Elephas maximus indicus: one gene and its partner. The protein of the gene in region 2 purifies or fractionates together with the protein of the main gene of each other region. This does not show direct contact. Links are inferred from orthologs where the notes say so. Each region holds a gene or a part of one and is shown on either strand. Other genes may lie near its edges.

Region 1 (7,224 bases), on a different chromosome or scaffold from region 2:
ATTTCCAGGACAATGCCTGCCACGTAGTAAGTGCTCAATAAAGATTTGGGGAAATGAATGAATAAGCCCCTAGAGGTGGAGTTGCTGAATTAAAGCACACAGGCATTTATAATTTGGTGGTCATGGCCCTGGTGCCTCAGTGGTTAAAGCAAATCTGCTGCTAACCAAACAGTGGAACCCACCAGCCACTCTGTAGGAGAAAGATGTGGAAGTCAGCTTCAGTAAAGATCACAGCCTTACAGATCCCATAGGGCTGTCTACTCTGTCTTAACAAGTCGTTACGAGTCGGAATCGACTCAAAAGCAGTGGGTATGGCTTAATTGCCCTCCACAGATATTGTAATGATTTATGCTTTTACCAGCCATACATAAAAATGCCTTTTTTCCTCACTCTGTTGCCAATACAACGTGTTAGCAGATATTATCTGTATTTGTTATCTGTTAGATGAAAATATATCTCAATGAAGTTTAAATGTGTGTCTTATTAGTGAAGCTGAGCATCTTTTCATTTGATTGAGAGCCATTTATATTTTCGTTTTTCAGAAATTTCTGACATACCCTTTGTCCACTTTTCTACTGAGATGTGTTTTTTTTTTTAATTAACTTTTATTGAGCTTCAAGTGAACGTTTACAAATCAAGTCAGACCGTCACATATAAGTTTATATACACCTTACTCCGTACTCCCACTTGCTCTCCCCCTGAGTCAGCCCTTGCAGTCTCTCCTTTCGAGACAATTTTGCCTGCTGAGATGTGTTTTTTTAAAAAACATTTTTATTGTGGAATATATATACAAAAACTTTTTTGTGTTTGCACATATGTAACACTTTAAAAATAAATAGTTCGAGAGCCAATACTTGTGTACCCACTGTGGTTAAAAAAAAAAAAACAACAACACTGCCAGCCACTTAGAATGCGCACCCTCACCCCCATCAACTGCAATTCCCTCTGTCCCCTGCTGCCGACTCTCCTGACTTTTATGGTGTTCTCTTCCTTGCTTTTTCTTACAATTTTACCACCTACCTTTGCCTATTTTTGAACTTTATGTAAATGGAATCATATCGTGTATGTGTGTATATCTATACACATTTATATTCATATATACGTATATATATTCTTCTGTATTTTGTATGTGTGTGTTCCATACTACCTTTGTAAAAATTAACCCATGTTGTTGAGCATAATCATAGTTTGTTCATTTTTATTGGACGAATATACCACAATTTATGCATTTTACACTTAGGTAGACATTTGAGATATTTCCAGTTTTGGGCAATGAGGAACAACACTGCTATGAACATTGTCATACAGTAATTCTGACACTTTAAAGTATGCATTTCCTTAGAATATAGGTCTAGGAGTGGGATTGCTGGGACATAGGATATGCATATCTTAAATTTATTGGATCATATGAAAGTCTTTTCCAAAGTGGCAGTACCAGTGTACACTGCCACCAGCAGCGTATGAGGATTGCACTTCTTTATTGATTGGTCTGTAGGAGGTCTTTACATAAAGCATTATGGAAATTAGCCCTTTTGTAATACGAATAGCAAAAATAATTTTTTTTTTCCCGAGTTTACAATCCCTTTAAAGAGGCACTGATGTTCTTCTCCCTGGAGGAATGTAAATATAACTGGAAGAAATGGAATATTCCAATTTTGCAACATTTAAATGAAAAACAAGTGTTCTGAGTTAACCTTATTGTTCTTAATTTGCTATTGTACATGTCATTAATATGAATAATCATACTAGCAATATTCATGGAATGCCCTGGAATACAAGATGCCAAATACAATAATGACAGTTGAAAGTTGAGTGTTTAGCCTGTGTCAGGCACTGGTTAAAACTGTTACGTGTATTAACTCTTTTAATCCTCACAACAAACCTAGAAGGTAGATGCTATTTTTTGCCCCATTTTATAGATATATAAAAAAAGGAGCTAGTTTGAAGCTGTTCTTCTAGATCTGATTTAAGCTGCGTTAACGAACTCAAAAAAGACTCATAACGGATAAAGATGTTCTCTTTTTATAATATGTGTTTTTTTTCTTAGGAATGAATGTTGCCGCATCCTGGGTTTCTTTTCCCCATTGTCTCAGATCTGCAATATACTTCATAGTTTTCTCTTTTTTCTTGGAAGGAAGACAAGGTATATATATCTCTCTTCAAGCCGCACTCATAATCCTTTGTCTTCTGTGTCACAGGCCAGACTGGAAATCAGAGTGCTTGGGGCCTGTGGGAATGGGGGGAGACAAGGATTAGGGATGAAGGTGGGGACTCACTCTGGTATGGGTGTGTGGAGGATGGGGAGGATGATCTTTTAAGGGTAGGGTTTCTTAATCCGTGGTCCACAGTTTAGGGAGTCCATGAATTTGAATAGATGGAAAAATCTTCATTTTTACTAAAGTGAACAAATTTAGTATTTTCTTCAGTTGTGCATGTAGACAACAAACCATAGCAGTATTAGCACTACCTGTGATCTTGTCACCAAAATAAATCACAGATATTTTCATATTGTATTATAGTTGTTGCAGATATCTTGAAATATTATTTATGCTCATTTAAAAACCAAAAAAAACAAAAAACAAACAAAAAAAAACCACTGCCATTGAGCCGATTCCGGCTCATAGCAGCCCTATAGGACAGAGTAGAACTGCCTCATGGAGTTTCCAAGGAGTGCCTGGTGGATTCGAACTGCTGACCTTTTGGTTAGCAGCCGTAGCTCTTAAACACTACACCAGCTCAAAATTATCATGGTCATTAGATCTGCCATTAGCTTTTATTATTTAATATATTGATAAAAAGTATGTATTACTATATCACACTTTAAAAATATTTTGATAACTATATTTCAATATTTGGTGTCTCATGAATTCTTATGTATATTTTTTATGCACTTAAAAACATTGTTCTGAGACCAAAGGGTCCATATGTTTCACCAGATTGCCAAGGGGGTCCATGGCATAAAAAAGTTAAGAACCCCTGCTTTATGGGTATTTTTTTTGGCTTTCATTCTTACTGTCACAGGGTTACCAAAGCCTGAAGAGGATCACTGAAGAGAGCTTCAAGATCTGTGAGCTTCTCATAGATTTTATTATCCTGTTTTTCCAGAGGCCCTTTCTCCCTTAACTTTCACAACTCTTCCATATTCTGTTTCTCTTACCTCACTGACCCTCTGTTTCTTTTCCAAATGTCTGACTTTAACTGTTGGGTATCTTTTTATACTTTGGTGAGTTTATCCATCAGCATGTCATTGACCACTATATTTAGGCAGAGAACCCTAAATCTCTAGTTCAGATTGCTCACCCTTTTGTAAATTCCTTAACTCCAAGTGCCTCTGGACACCTCCACTTGGTTTTACTGCTTCTATCTGGAACCGAACATATTAATAACTAAGTTCCTCCCCAAATCTGTATCTTGTCCCAATTTTCCTGAACAACCACCTTGCCTGTTCCCCTGATTTTGCGATCATAGAATTATTTAAAAATTTAAATCAGTTTTTTAAAATTGGTAATCTTTGTGAATAGCACAAAAATCAGGATATGCAGTGAAAAATATAAGTCTTTCTCCCACCTGGTTCCGCAGGCACTCAGTTCCCCTCCTAGAAGGTAACCACTGTTACCAGATCTTAGAGTGATTTTGGATTCCTTTTTATAGGGGCTATATCTCAAGTCCTCTGTCTCAGAGATGTGTGCCCTTTTCTCTCCAGGCCCTCATGACCTTATATTTTGTTAACTATACATATGTATATAAATATTTATATGTGTATATGCAGTGGGTTTATATGTTTATATACATGTATAAAATCTCTCCCTGTGGCTTTCCGGCCTCGAGTTTTCATCACGTCGCTTCCTGGATGAAAAATCTACCGGGGTGGGGGGCAGGGGCTGGGGGTGATGGAGAAGAGGACAGAGAGGGGACTTAGGTAGGGGGTCAGAGTGGCAGACGGTTGGGAAGCTCGACAGGGATTCCCTTAGCCTATTCTTCCCACCTCAGGCCCCTTTCCAGTCCCCTAGTCCAAAAGCCTCCAGTTTCCAAGAGCTGAGGCAGAGACAGAGACAGAGAGATATACAGAGACAGAGACGCCGAGGCACCAGCATCCCTCTCCCCCTTCCGTCCAGCCCCGCCGCTCTGACGGACACCCGCCATCAGCCAATGGCGCCCACGATGTGTCCCGGAAGGGCCAATGAGAGACGGAGGAGGGCGAAAGATTCCCCGCCCCCACTTCTAGGCTTGGTTGAGCCGTGCAGGTAGGTCCGGGGCTGGGGGAGCTGCCGTTGGCACTGGTGCCCAGGGGGGTGGGGGCACGAGTGGGTAGGGGTGATGGTGGGGAAGGGGAGGCGGCCCCGACGGGGAGAGCCCGAGGGGGCGGCCCGGCCAGGAGGCGGGGAGCCGAAGGGCCCTGGGAGCGGGCGCCGCCGAGGGCCCTGGAAGCGGCTGGGCTGGGGGAGTGGGGACGCGTGTGTGGGGCACACGGACCCCCGCCCTGCGCCCACCCTCAGGACTGGGCCGCGGGTCGCTGGCCGAGTGGCAGGGGAGCCTGGCTGACCGGGGGGCAGGCCGGAGCCGGGGGCAGGGGCGCCGAGCTGAGCCCAGGGCGCCAGGCCGAGCCGAGGTGGGACGGACCGACGCGGAGAGGAAGGGAAGCTGCATCCCGCGGGCCGCCCCTCCAGAAGCGAGCTGGGGAAACGGCCGGCCGCCGGTTCCCCCACCTTGAGCTCACTCCTCCCTATTCCCCCACCCCAACAATGGGTATGGGGCAGGAGGAGTCGCCCCACTGCGGGGAGGTGGGGGGGGGATTCGGTTTGGGACAAGGGTCCAAGTTGGGGGGAGGGGTGGGAACTCGGGCTCTCCCTTTTCTTTCCCCTCCTGGCTTCGAATGTGGGGATCTTGGAGGGGCGTATTAAACATACCTGAGACTTGGGGCAAGAGTCAAACTGCAGGCCCCCCCCCCCCCGCCAAAAAAAAAAATCCGATGAGCGGTGAGGAAAGTGATGCCATTTCTTCAAAGCCAGAGTGACAAACACGTACCAAGAACAAATCCACTCCAGAGGTTTTTATTTTATTTTTTATTAAAAAACGGGGATACTTTCGTCTTAGATTTTTCGAAATATATTTTAAAGAGGTGGGTGCTGTCATTTTTGTCCCTACTCGGGCCAGCCTCCATTTTAAGCTAAGCAGTAACTGGTTAAGCTGGAATTACATTCAGGCCTAGGACTTAAACAAGGATCCTACAAGAGGTCATTTAGTCCATCCTCCTGCCGCCAGGCAAAATTGTCTCCCTCCCATCATCAAAATTAAGTTGTTTGGTAGATTTTTAAAGATCTCTGGGGAAGAGGAGTCTTTTCCTTGATTGTAGTATTTTAGTCAAGAGATTTTATTTTTCAGTAGAATCAGCTCTGAAACTTAATTTAAGCCTAATAAAACTCAGAGAGGTTTTAATTTACAAAATAAAATTTAAGTGTGGTAAGGGGCTTGTAAACAACAACAACAACAACAAAAAACACAAATTATCTTTCAGTAGTGTTTATGAAGTGCCCGGGATAATCATTTTTCTCTCTGGGATTTTGGTTTTCTAATTCTTGATAAACAACAACAACAAAATGTTTTACTTATTTTATCTAGGATATGTGTATATGTACAGATAGATACATAAACCTACACATTTGCCCTTTCCAAAAGGAGACTGACTGTTTTGTACATCTTTTAGGATGGTGACGCAAGTAGTACTTCAAATCTCTGTCCTGGTAGCTTAAACTATTTGCTTATTGATTTATTTTTTTTAGTCTAAATGTAAGTTCTCTCTTTCAGATAACTTCTTGAAACAAAAAATTTTCCTACCTGCTCATACTTGGTGACTTCAAGGGAATTACTAAGACTCCCTTCTTGCTCATTTCTGAGTATTGTCTGAACTATTCCTGACACTATGAATGCTATTTGGATGCCTCTTAAGGTAAGACATGTTATTTTTTTCATTAATGGCCTCATTTATTTTCTTTAGAATTGAGAACATTTTACTTCTTGAATTTGTTATTCAGCTCTTTACCTGGCACTCCTCTCCCCTCAAAAATTATTGTGTTTGCCTTCTAGGAACTGATTGGTCACTCCCTTTGTATTGCTACTGGTCTTGATTACTGGTGTTAAAATGTTGATGAAGTCCTCAGATTAACTTCCATTATAATGGTTTGTTCAATATTTTAGTTTTAATTATGACAACCCACATAGTTGTAAAATTCTGTTCCATTCCCAGCAGGATGAGCTGGCAATTCAGACATCGAGGTCCACTCTCAAACAGGTGCTTGAGAGTCATAGGTACTAGGGTGTGTCCCACTCTTGCAAATCAGCTGATTCATGTATTGCAAAAGGTGTTTCATTAACCATTGGTTTATTCTGAAACTTTATATAGTATATTAGAACATTCTAAGACTTGCTGGTCTACGTGGACAGCTCTTTTGGAGTGTACGCCTTCTGCTCCCTAGCTTTCTGCATGAAATTTTATGCTGTTTTTCTCAACAGGTAGCATTTTGTGTCAAGTTTCATCTCATGGGGTAAATGCTATTTGGACAGTGTGGGCAGAATGGTCTTCAGGTGAAAACACTCGTTGGTGTGGTTGTTCTCCACTGTCCCTTGCCTCTTTCCCACCCTTTGTGTATAGATGGCTAAAGTATTGTCCATTAAGGCTAAGCAGAGGGCAAAGCCTAAGACGTGGGGAGGAAGGACAGAGAAAAAGATAAGGAGTGATGGAGGTCCTCCACCAGTGTCCCCAGATGGCACAGGTTGCCTTCCCTGGAGCTTGATGCTAGTATAGTTAAGATCATTGTATAGTAATCTGCCTGTGGAATTCCAGGTTGATGCAGTAGGTAAATCACAGTATAAGGCAGTGTCTGTACCCTAAATATTTGGACTTGTGGAAAATCTTTAGGTAATGTAGACTGAGTGCTCATTTTCATTTATGTTCCAGCTGCTATTGGTGGATAATGAGTGCCTGTATTAGTATGAAAAAAGCCAAAGTGGCATAGTTTTTCCAGCCATTCTCTCTGTAGAGTTGGAGGGTTTGCATGGGGAGCCCAGCCAGAAGTCCTGAACCATAGTAATTGCAGGATCTTATTGTACAAGAATGTTTGTTTCTCTTCGGTACCACGTGTTTAGTGCCAGTACCTGGCATCCTCTGTGCTCTTTGGGAAGCAGACGGAAATATCAATGGCTACTAGTTCCCTAGAAACTTAAGGA
Region 2 (7,890 bases):
GTCATCACCATCGCCAACAATGATATCGATCTCGTCATCAGGTTTGCCCTGAGTGGGAGTTGGGTGGGGTGGACAGAGGTTCCAGGCACTGATTCTGACTTACTGTGTGACCTAAGCCAGTACCTGCCTCACTCTGGGACCTGGTGTCTGGTCCGACAAGATACTCTCTGTCCTGAGATTCCCATGAGCTGGATATTAATGAATCCGGGGCCAGCTGCAGGCCCAGGGCAGTGCCCCTGTCAACAACTGAGGGGCCTGGAATTGGGAAACATTCAGGAGTAAGCAGTAAGTGGTGCTGGGCCGAGGGTAAATGTCAAGTCCTGTGAGAACGTATAAGCAGTCAGCATCCCAAGCATCAGTGAGGATGGAGAAAGGACACTCTCCAAGCAGCGTCCAGGAGTCTGGGTGGACAGCATTCTACCTTTGGGTGGAATGAACAGGAAGGCAGACTTCACACTGTCTGCTTGGGAGGTGGGGAGTCAATACTGAGCCAAGCCCATTATCGGCATCCTGCCAGGATTTCAGACCGGGGCGGGGGAATCGCTCACAAAGACTTGGATCGGGTCATGGACTACCACTTCACTACGGCCGAGGCCAGCACCCAGGACCCCCGGATCAGCCCCCTTTTTGGCCACCTGGACATGCACAGTGGCAGCCAGTCAGGACCCATGCATGGGTGAGGCGCCACCTGGCCAGGATGGAGGGGTGGGGGGCCCCAGGGGACTCAAGCCTCTGAAGCCTCCTATCCTATCCCCTGCCCACCCTCAGCTTTGGCTTCGGGCTGCCCACATCACGGGCCTACGCGGAGTACCTTGGTGGTTCCCTGCAGCTACAGTCCCTGCAGGGCATTGGCACGGATGTCTACTTGCGGCTCCGCCACATCGATGGCCGGGAGGAGAGCTTCCGCATCTGACCCAAGTCCTTGGCCTGCTTGCCTGCCCAGCCTGGGCCACGTTCCCTGCCAAGACCTTCCAGGTTAGGCAGGGTCCCAACCTGTTCCACTTGCTGCTGCATCTTGGGTCTTAGATCCCTAGACAGATGGACTTATGTGGAGCTGGGTACCCCCATCCTCCCTGCCTCCAGGCCTTCGAAAGGGGAAATGGGGACCCATGAGGCCTCCAGCACCAGCTCCATCATTCTTGTTCCTGGGGGACCTCCCCCACTTGGACCTGCTGTTTATTATTAAAGTTCACATTTTGAATGCCCTCTTGGGCCCTGTGTGTGGGGAAGGCAGGTGAGCTTTTGCTTTTGCCCCTGTTCAGAGTCCTTGATTCTTGAGTTTAAATGGTTCATGTCTCAGTCTCTCTGTCCCAGCAGCCCAGGAGTAAAAGTGGGTTCAAGTCTCTCGCACATTTGATTTGGTGGGAGTGAGAGTGACTTTGACAGCTTGTGCGAAGACCTTTTATTTAGTACACGTTTATGGATCCCAGACAATATCGAAGGCCCAGGCTGGCCTAGCTCTAGGCCTCAGTTCTGACTCTTTCCTGCCAGTCACGATTTCTGGAGGTGAAACTTACCAGACTGGGCAACTTTCTGAGCCACCTGATTCCTGAGCCTGAGTAAGGTTAAAAATACTGCCCGCCAGCTGTGTCTGCTGCCACCAAGGAAAGGAACACACAAGGTTGTTTTCTGGCAGGCCCCAGCAAGGACTGGGTGCCCTACCAGAGAAAGGTGGGGCTCTGGTAGGAGGCCAGGGTGTTGGGCAAAAGAAAAGGGCCCAAGACAGCAAGTAGGCTCAAGGTTATGCTTGAAGCAGAACTTCCCAGGGGGGTCTCAGATGGGAACCCCTTGCTCATCTTGCCAGGAAAGGAGAAGAAAGGCCCTCTGGGCGTGTCTGGTGGGATTAAGCAAACGTCTTACTCTGTCTCTGCCTTCACATCTCTGAGCTCTGACAGCTAACTTCCTGAGGCTGGCTCTAGATCTACCCCATTTCCTACCCTTCAGGGTGATGGCTGGTAGAGGAGACAGGAAATTGTATCTGGAGGTCAAATGGCAGGTGGTGGGAAATGATTTGCTGGGCTGCAAAACTTCTGTCTGCAGGGCAGGGTGGTGAAGCTGGAGAAACAGGCAGCAGCCAGAGGGTGTAGGGCTTTGAATGTGCAGCCTAGAAGCTTGGGTTTTGTTCTGAAGGCAGTGAGGATCCATGGACAGGTTTTAGGCTAAGAAGGGATGTCTCTGGTTGGATTCCCTAGAAGTAGACCCTGAGAGGACTTGTGTCCAAGTGATCTGTTAAGAACATGCTCCCAGGAAAGACCCAGAGGGAGTAGGGGAAGCAGGAGAGGGGAGGGGAGGAAGTCGAGCAGGGATAAGATCTCCGACAACAGTCCAGAGCCAGTAAGTTATGCCTCAGAGTTGGAGGTAAGAGAACTAACTAAGCTCACCAGCACTGATTCACTCTTCCACTTGACAATCATTCCTTAATGGCTATGCTGGGAAGTGGGAGTGGGTATGTACTTAAATTCCCGGGTTGAAATCTTACCTTTTCAGCATTTCCAGGCAAAACAGCTCTATTAGCTCGAAGGCAACTCACCAAAGAGCCCCAGGTGCTGGCCTTAGAAAGTACAAGTCAAAGAGAATTGAGGCACACAAAGAAAAGGGATCCTGGGGATCTGGGCAGAACACCTGCATAGTCCTAGGAGGAACTATCTGATTTGCATGTTAGAAGAATCACTGGTGGCTGGTGGATTGAAGAATGAGGAGGCTGATGCAGTGACCTTGGTCAGGGGTTTGTAAGGCCTAGGCTAATCCTTAACTAGAAAGGATAGCATCGGTAACTGAATGTGTCCAGTTAAGTCAAAAATGAGGCACCAGTACCCTGGCTGGGTAAAATAACAATCTTGCAGATAGGAGAGGGGTGGGGAGAGTCAATAGAATTTTAACTTTTTTCTTGCCTGTTTTTTGGTTCTTTTTTATGCTGCCAGACACCTGGCATTCATCAGCCCCCAGAGTCCTCCATTTCCCACGAGCCAAATTATCAGCACTTCCCACCGCCATCCCCCACAGATACCCAGCTGATATATTTTTTTAAATTGTTCTTTAAGTGAAAGTTTACAAATCAAGTCAGTCTCTCATACAAAAATTTATATACACCTTGCTGTGTACTCCTAGTTCCTCTTCCCCTAATCAGATAGCACACTCCTTTTCTCCACCCTGTATCCTCCATGTCCATTCGGCTAGCTTCTCTGCCTTCTCATCTCCCCTCCAGATAGAAGCTGCACGCATAGTCTTGTGTCTACTTGAGCCAACAAGCTCACTCCTCACCATTATCATTTTCTATCCCATAGTCCAGTCCAATCCCTGTCTGAAGAGTTGGCTTTCGGAATGGTTCCTGTCTGGGGCTAACAGAAGTTCTGGGGACCATGACCTCCGGGGTCCTTCTAGTGTCAGACTCTTAAGTCTGACCTTTTTACAGGAATTTGAGGTCTGCATCCCACTGCTCTCTTGTTCCATCAGGGATTCTCTGTTGTGTTCCATGTCAGGGAACTAATTGGTTGTAGCCAGGCACCATCTAGTTCTTCCAGTCTCAGGCTGATGTAGTCTCTGGTTTATGTGGCCCTTTCTGTCTCCTGGGCTCATATTTACCTTGTGTCTTGGTGTTCTTCATTCTTCTTTGATCCAGGTGTGTTGAGACCAGTTGACGCATCTTAGGTGGGCGCTTGCTAGCATTTAAGACCCCAGACACCACTCGCCAAAATGGGATGCAGAATGTTTTCTTAATAGATTTTATTATGCCAATTGACCTAGATGTCCCCTGAAACCATGGTCCCCAGACCCCCGTCCCTGCTACTCTGGCCTTCGAAGTGTTCGATTTATTCAGGAAACTTCTTTGCTTTTGGTTTAGTCTGGTTATCCAGCTGATATTTCTTGATCTGGCAAGCTCTGAGTCCCATTATTAGGCCTTGAGCGATCACACCCCTCTCAGAATTATTTCTAAGCCCAATAACCAAATTGGAAATCAAAGAAGGCTCAGAGAATTGCCAAAGGTAACATTTATGGGAAGACCTATCCTGCCTGGGTCCTGTGAACAGTTAATGTGCTTGGATGCTAACTGAAAGGTTGGAGGTTCAAGTCCACTCAGAGGGACCTTGGAAGAAAGGCCTACTTCTGAAAAATCAGTCACTGAAAACCCTATAGAGCACCCAGTTCTACTCTGACACAGGGTTGCCATGAGTCAGGAGTTGACTCAACAGAAACTGGTTTACCCCATCTAGCACTGTACAATACACTTGTATGTGTGGTGTGTGTACACACACATATCTGGTTTCCTTTACTAATGCTGACTGAACAGAAAATTGTACATCCTACCCAGCACAGCATCAGACTTCAGGATTCCTGCCTTAAGCGCAAGACTTTCTCTGTAGTAACCACTGCCTTTGTCTAGTTTCTGTTCAGGGGACGTCTGGTTTTGGGGGGCCTGAGCCTTTAGAAAGGTTATATTCTGTGAGGGTGACTTACTGGCTCTTCTGGACATACCCGTCTTGCTTCCCACACCCCAACTGTACCTTCTTCCCAGCTGAGCAAGAAAGAGTCTAGAATCTTCAAAAACAGTGTGGCCAGTATTGGGCTAGGGGAGGCCTGAAGCCCAAAGGGAGACCTGCGACATTCTTGATACCCCCATGCCAGGCAAACCGTGGAGACCGCTCAGCGTGGGGGCAGCGCCCCGATATTTGGCACATCTTGTCTTCCTCAGGCACCGAGGCCTTTAAAAATCCTGAGCTGAGTTGCCACGTGAGGAAAGTCTTTCTCCTCTCTTCAGGTCCAGGGTGCAGCCATATTTCCATACGGAAAATAAGGAACTCAAAGGCAACTGGCACGGTAACCGTCAGGCTCGTCCGGGCGCCGCGGGGACGGCCACACAAACCAATGAAGCCCCGCCACATCACAGAGCCCACCGTGAAGCCTGACGCGGCCCCCGCCACGCCTTGCTGACCCGGAGCTAAAAAGCCGCGCGGCGCCGGATTCTGCCGTCACTTCCGCCACAGCGATGGCGGCGCAGGGAGCAGCTGCGGCTGTTGTGGCGGCGACTTCAGGGGTCGCGGGGGAGGGCGAGCCCGGGCCCGGGGAGAATGTGGCCGTCGAGGGGACCGCCCCGTCCCCGGGCCGCGTCTCTCCTCCGACCCCAGCGCGCGGCGAGCCGGAGGTCACCGTGGAGATCGGAGAAACGTACCTGTGTCGGCGGCCGGATAGCACCTGGCGTGAGGGCGGGGCCCGGGGCCGGGGTTTAAAGGACGAGGGGGCGGGGCCTGAGGACGGGTTCAAGGCTAGGGGCTGGCAGTCGTGGGTAGTGGAGCCAGAGGACAGAGAACCGGGAGTTGCGGGCTCTAAGAAGCCAGCCCAGTAACCCTGGACTTCTTCCCGGGCGCCAGTGCAAACCTCTCAGTCAGGCGATCACCAGATCCTTCGTGTTGTATATAGAGCGCCCGTTCAACTCCCTTGCCCAATCTTAGGCTTCATTCGCTTTCTTGTTAACCCTATTTCCTCACCAGTCTCTGGTCTCTGCGTGTTCCCCTTCCATCTGCCCTCTACAGCCGCCAGCAGAGAGGGCCTTCCAGAACACAAAAATGAGCTTCCCCTTCCTTTCCATTGTCTTCCGTCATCTCCCCAATATACCCCAATCGCCTTAGAATGGCATTCATCTGTGTGACCTGCTCTCTGGTTTCTAGCCACCCCAGACAAAGGCCTATTTGCCAGACCTGCTGTGTGCTCTGAAGACCATATGGTTTTTACCCTCTAGGCCTTCTGCTTGGAATGTTTTTTCCCTTTCCCCTGGTTCACCTGACTAGCTCCTACTCATCTTTATTGTCACATACTCTATGACGCCATTTCTGACTCCCTTCAGGCAAAGTGAGTCGTTCACTTCTGTATGTTCCCATCACGTTTTTTTCATACCTCAGCTGTGATATATGTAACATTGTTTTGTAATTGTCTCTGTTTTTCACCATCAAACTGAGAACTTCTGGCAGGGGGCGGGTATTGGGGACAGGATCTGTTGTGATTCATTGCTGTGTCCTCTGTACCCAGCAACACAACATAGGGCCAGACACGCAGTGGCTGCTTTATTCGTTTACGGAATTGTTTACTAGATGTCAGGCACTGTGCTGAAAACTTTACAGGCATTAACTCACTCTCTGAAGTGGGTACTATTATCTCTATTATATACATGAAAAAACTGAGACTCAGAAAGCTGAAATACTTGCTCAGTTATATATATATAGATATATATATATAGATATGTATATACATAATGAATCATTGTGTATAGTAAAGTGAACATTGAATTTGGAGTCAGACTTAAATTCAGCTAAGTATTAACAGCCCCAACCTGGCCTACCTTACAGGGTTGTAGCAGTGATTAAGTGGCAGATGTGGACAGGTAAGGTAGCTCATATGCAGCCCTGGAATCTGGAAACTGTTTCTCAGTGTACAGGATCCCTCTTGTCTCAGCCCTCTCTTTCCTTCCTGATGATCCTGTCCTTTTTCCTTCACAGATTCTGCTGAAGTGATCCAGTCTCGAGTAAATGACCAGGAAGGCCGAGAGGAATTCTATGTACACTACGTGGGCTGTGAGTGGCTTGGGGCATCCACGGCCTGGTTGGGAGGAGAAGGGTGGCAGGGCAGCACCCTCATGGCCCATCCCCACAGTTAACCGACGACTGGACGAATGGGTAGACAAGAATCGACTGGCACTGACCAAAACAGTGAAGGATGCTGTGCAGAAGAACTCAGAGAAGTACCTGAGTGAGCTGGCCGAGCAGCCAGAACGCAAGATTACTCGCAACCAAAAGCGCAAGCATGATGAGATCAACCACGTGCAGAAGGTCTGGGTCTCCTCCCCTTCCCTGGGGCCCCAGGAAGCCCAGCTACCTCTGCCAACTTCTTTGGGCCCCTTGGTCACCAGTGCCAAAACCACAGCAGCTGTCAATTCTTAAGCTCTAAGAGTGTGTCAGGGCCTTTACCTACCTCCTCTTCTTATTCCTCACAGATGAGAAAACTGAGACTCAGAGAGGGTAAGGCTTAGCTATAGTCTCACAGCAAGGAAGTGAAAGTCAGGCGTCCTGTACCCATAGCCTGTTTTATCAGCTTGTTGTCTGTGCCATCTTAGGTAAACTGACTTGAAGTCTAAAGGGAAGAGTAAAAAAATGAATAATAATCAGGCACTTGCCCTTGCCAAGCACCATGTTCTGTGTATGTATAAGTTCATCAGGTCGTTGTCAACATTTCAACATCCCCAGGGATAATCATCTCTTTTTGTAGGTGAGGAAGCAAGATTAGAGGGGTTAGGTAATATGCCTAAGATCCCACAGCTAGCTCATTTTTGAGCTGGAATTGGAATAATAGTGCAAAATATTTGTTGGTCTGTGAGCCAAGTACTATGCTAAATATTTTACACATGTGATGTCCCTGAAGTCTCGCAACAACCTTGTGAATAAGCATTACTGTTATCCTCAGTTTCCAGGGGAGGCACAGATAGGTTTAGGAACTTGTTCAGGACCATCCAGTCAGGAATTAGGTTTGCACTCAGGCAGTCCAACTTCAGAGCCCAGCTCTTAACCATGACTGTGACACATAATAGAATCTCAGGCCATCTGTCTCCAAAACCTGTTTTTTTGTTTTCTGCAAGCCAGGCTGCCCTTGGCTGGTTACGTTGCCCTCACTCTGAGACTTAGTTTCTTCATCTGTACAATAGGAAGTTCAAACCAGAACAGGGTTTAATCGAGCTCTCACGGCATTCAGATATTTATCAGTTTCAACCAACTCACTTTCCTCCTCTGAGCATTTATTGTGTGTTTTGCAGCACTGTTTTTCAAACTGGGACACAGCCTGCTGGTAGATTGCAAAAACCAGTTCAGTGGGTTGTGACCAGCATTTAAATTTTAAAAAGGGAAGAAA

The links.
Region 1: the proteins of KAT8 (region 2) and KANSL1 purify together in Homo sapiens (affinity purification with western blotting; 4 studies listed by BioGRID and IntAct, with this or other methods). This does not show direct contact. The link is inferred for Elephas maximus indicus from reciprocal best matches to the Homo sapiens genes KAT8 and KANSL1.

Annotation. Positions count from the first base shown.
Region 1 is NC_064837.1:52,968,093-52,975,316, reverse strand, and holds the start of KANSL1 (KAT8 regulatory NSL complex subunit 1), read left to right. Parts: upstream 1-4,214; 5' UTR 4,215-4,244; intron 4,245-5,805; 5' UTR 5,806-5,947; intron 5,948-7,224. UniProt on the Homo sapiens protein: Non-catalytic component of the NSL histone acetyltransferase complex, a multiprotein complex that mediates histone H4 acetylation at 'Lys-5'- and 'Lys-8' (H4K5ac and H4K8ac) at transcription start sites and promotes transcription initiation.
Region 2 is NC_064830.1:90,352,092-90,359,981, forward strand, and holds the start of KAT8 (histone acetyltransferase KAT8), read left to right. Parts: upstream 1-4,883; 5' UTR 4,884-4,984; coding exon 4,985-5,195; intron 5,196-6,488; coding exon 6,489-6,563; intron 6,564-6,642; coding exon 6,643-6,818; intron 6,819-7,890. Other genes in the region: BCKDK (3-methyl-2-oxobutanoate dehydrogenase [lipoamide] kinase, mitochondrial), read left to right, coding at 1-41, 518-676, 769-913.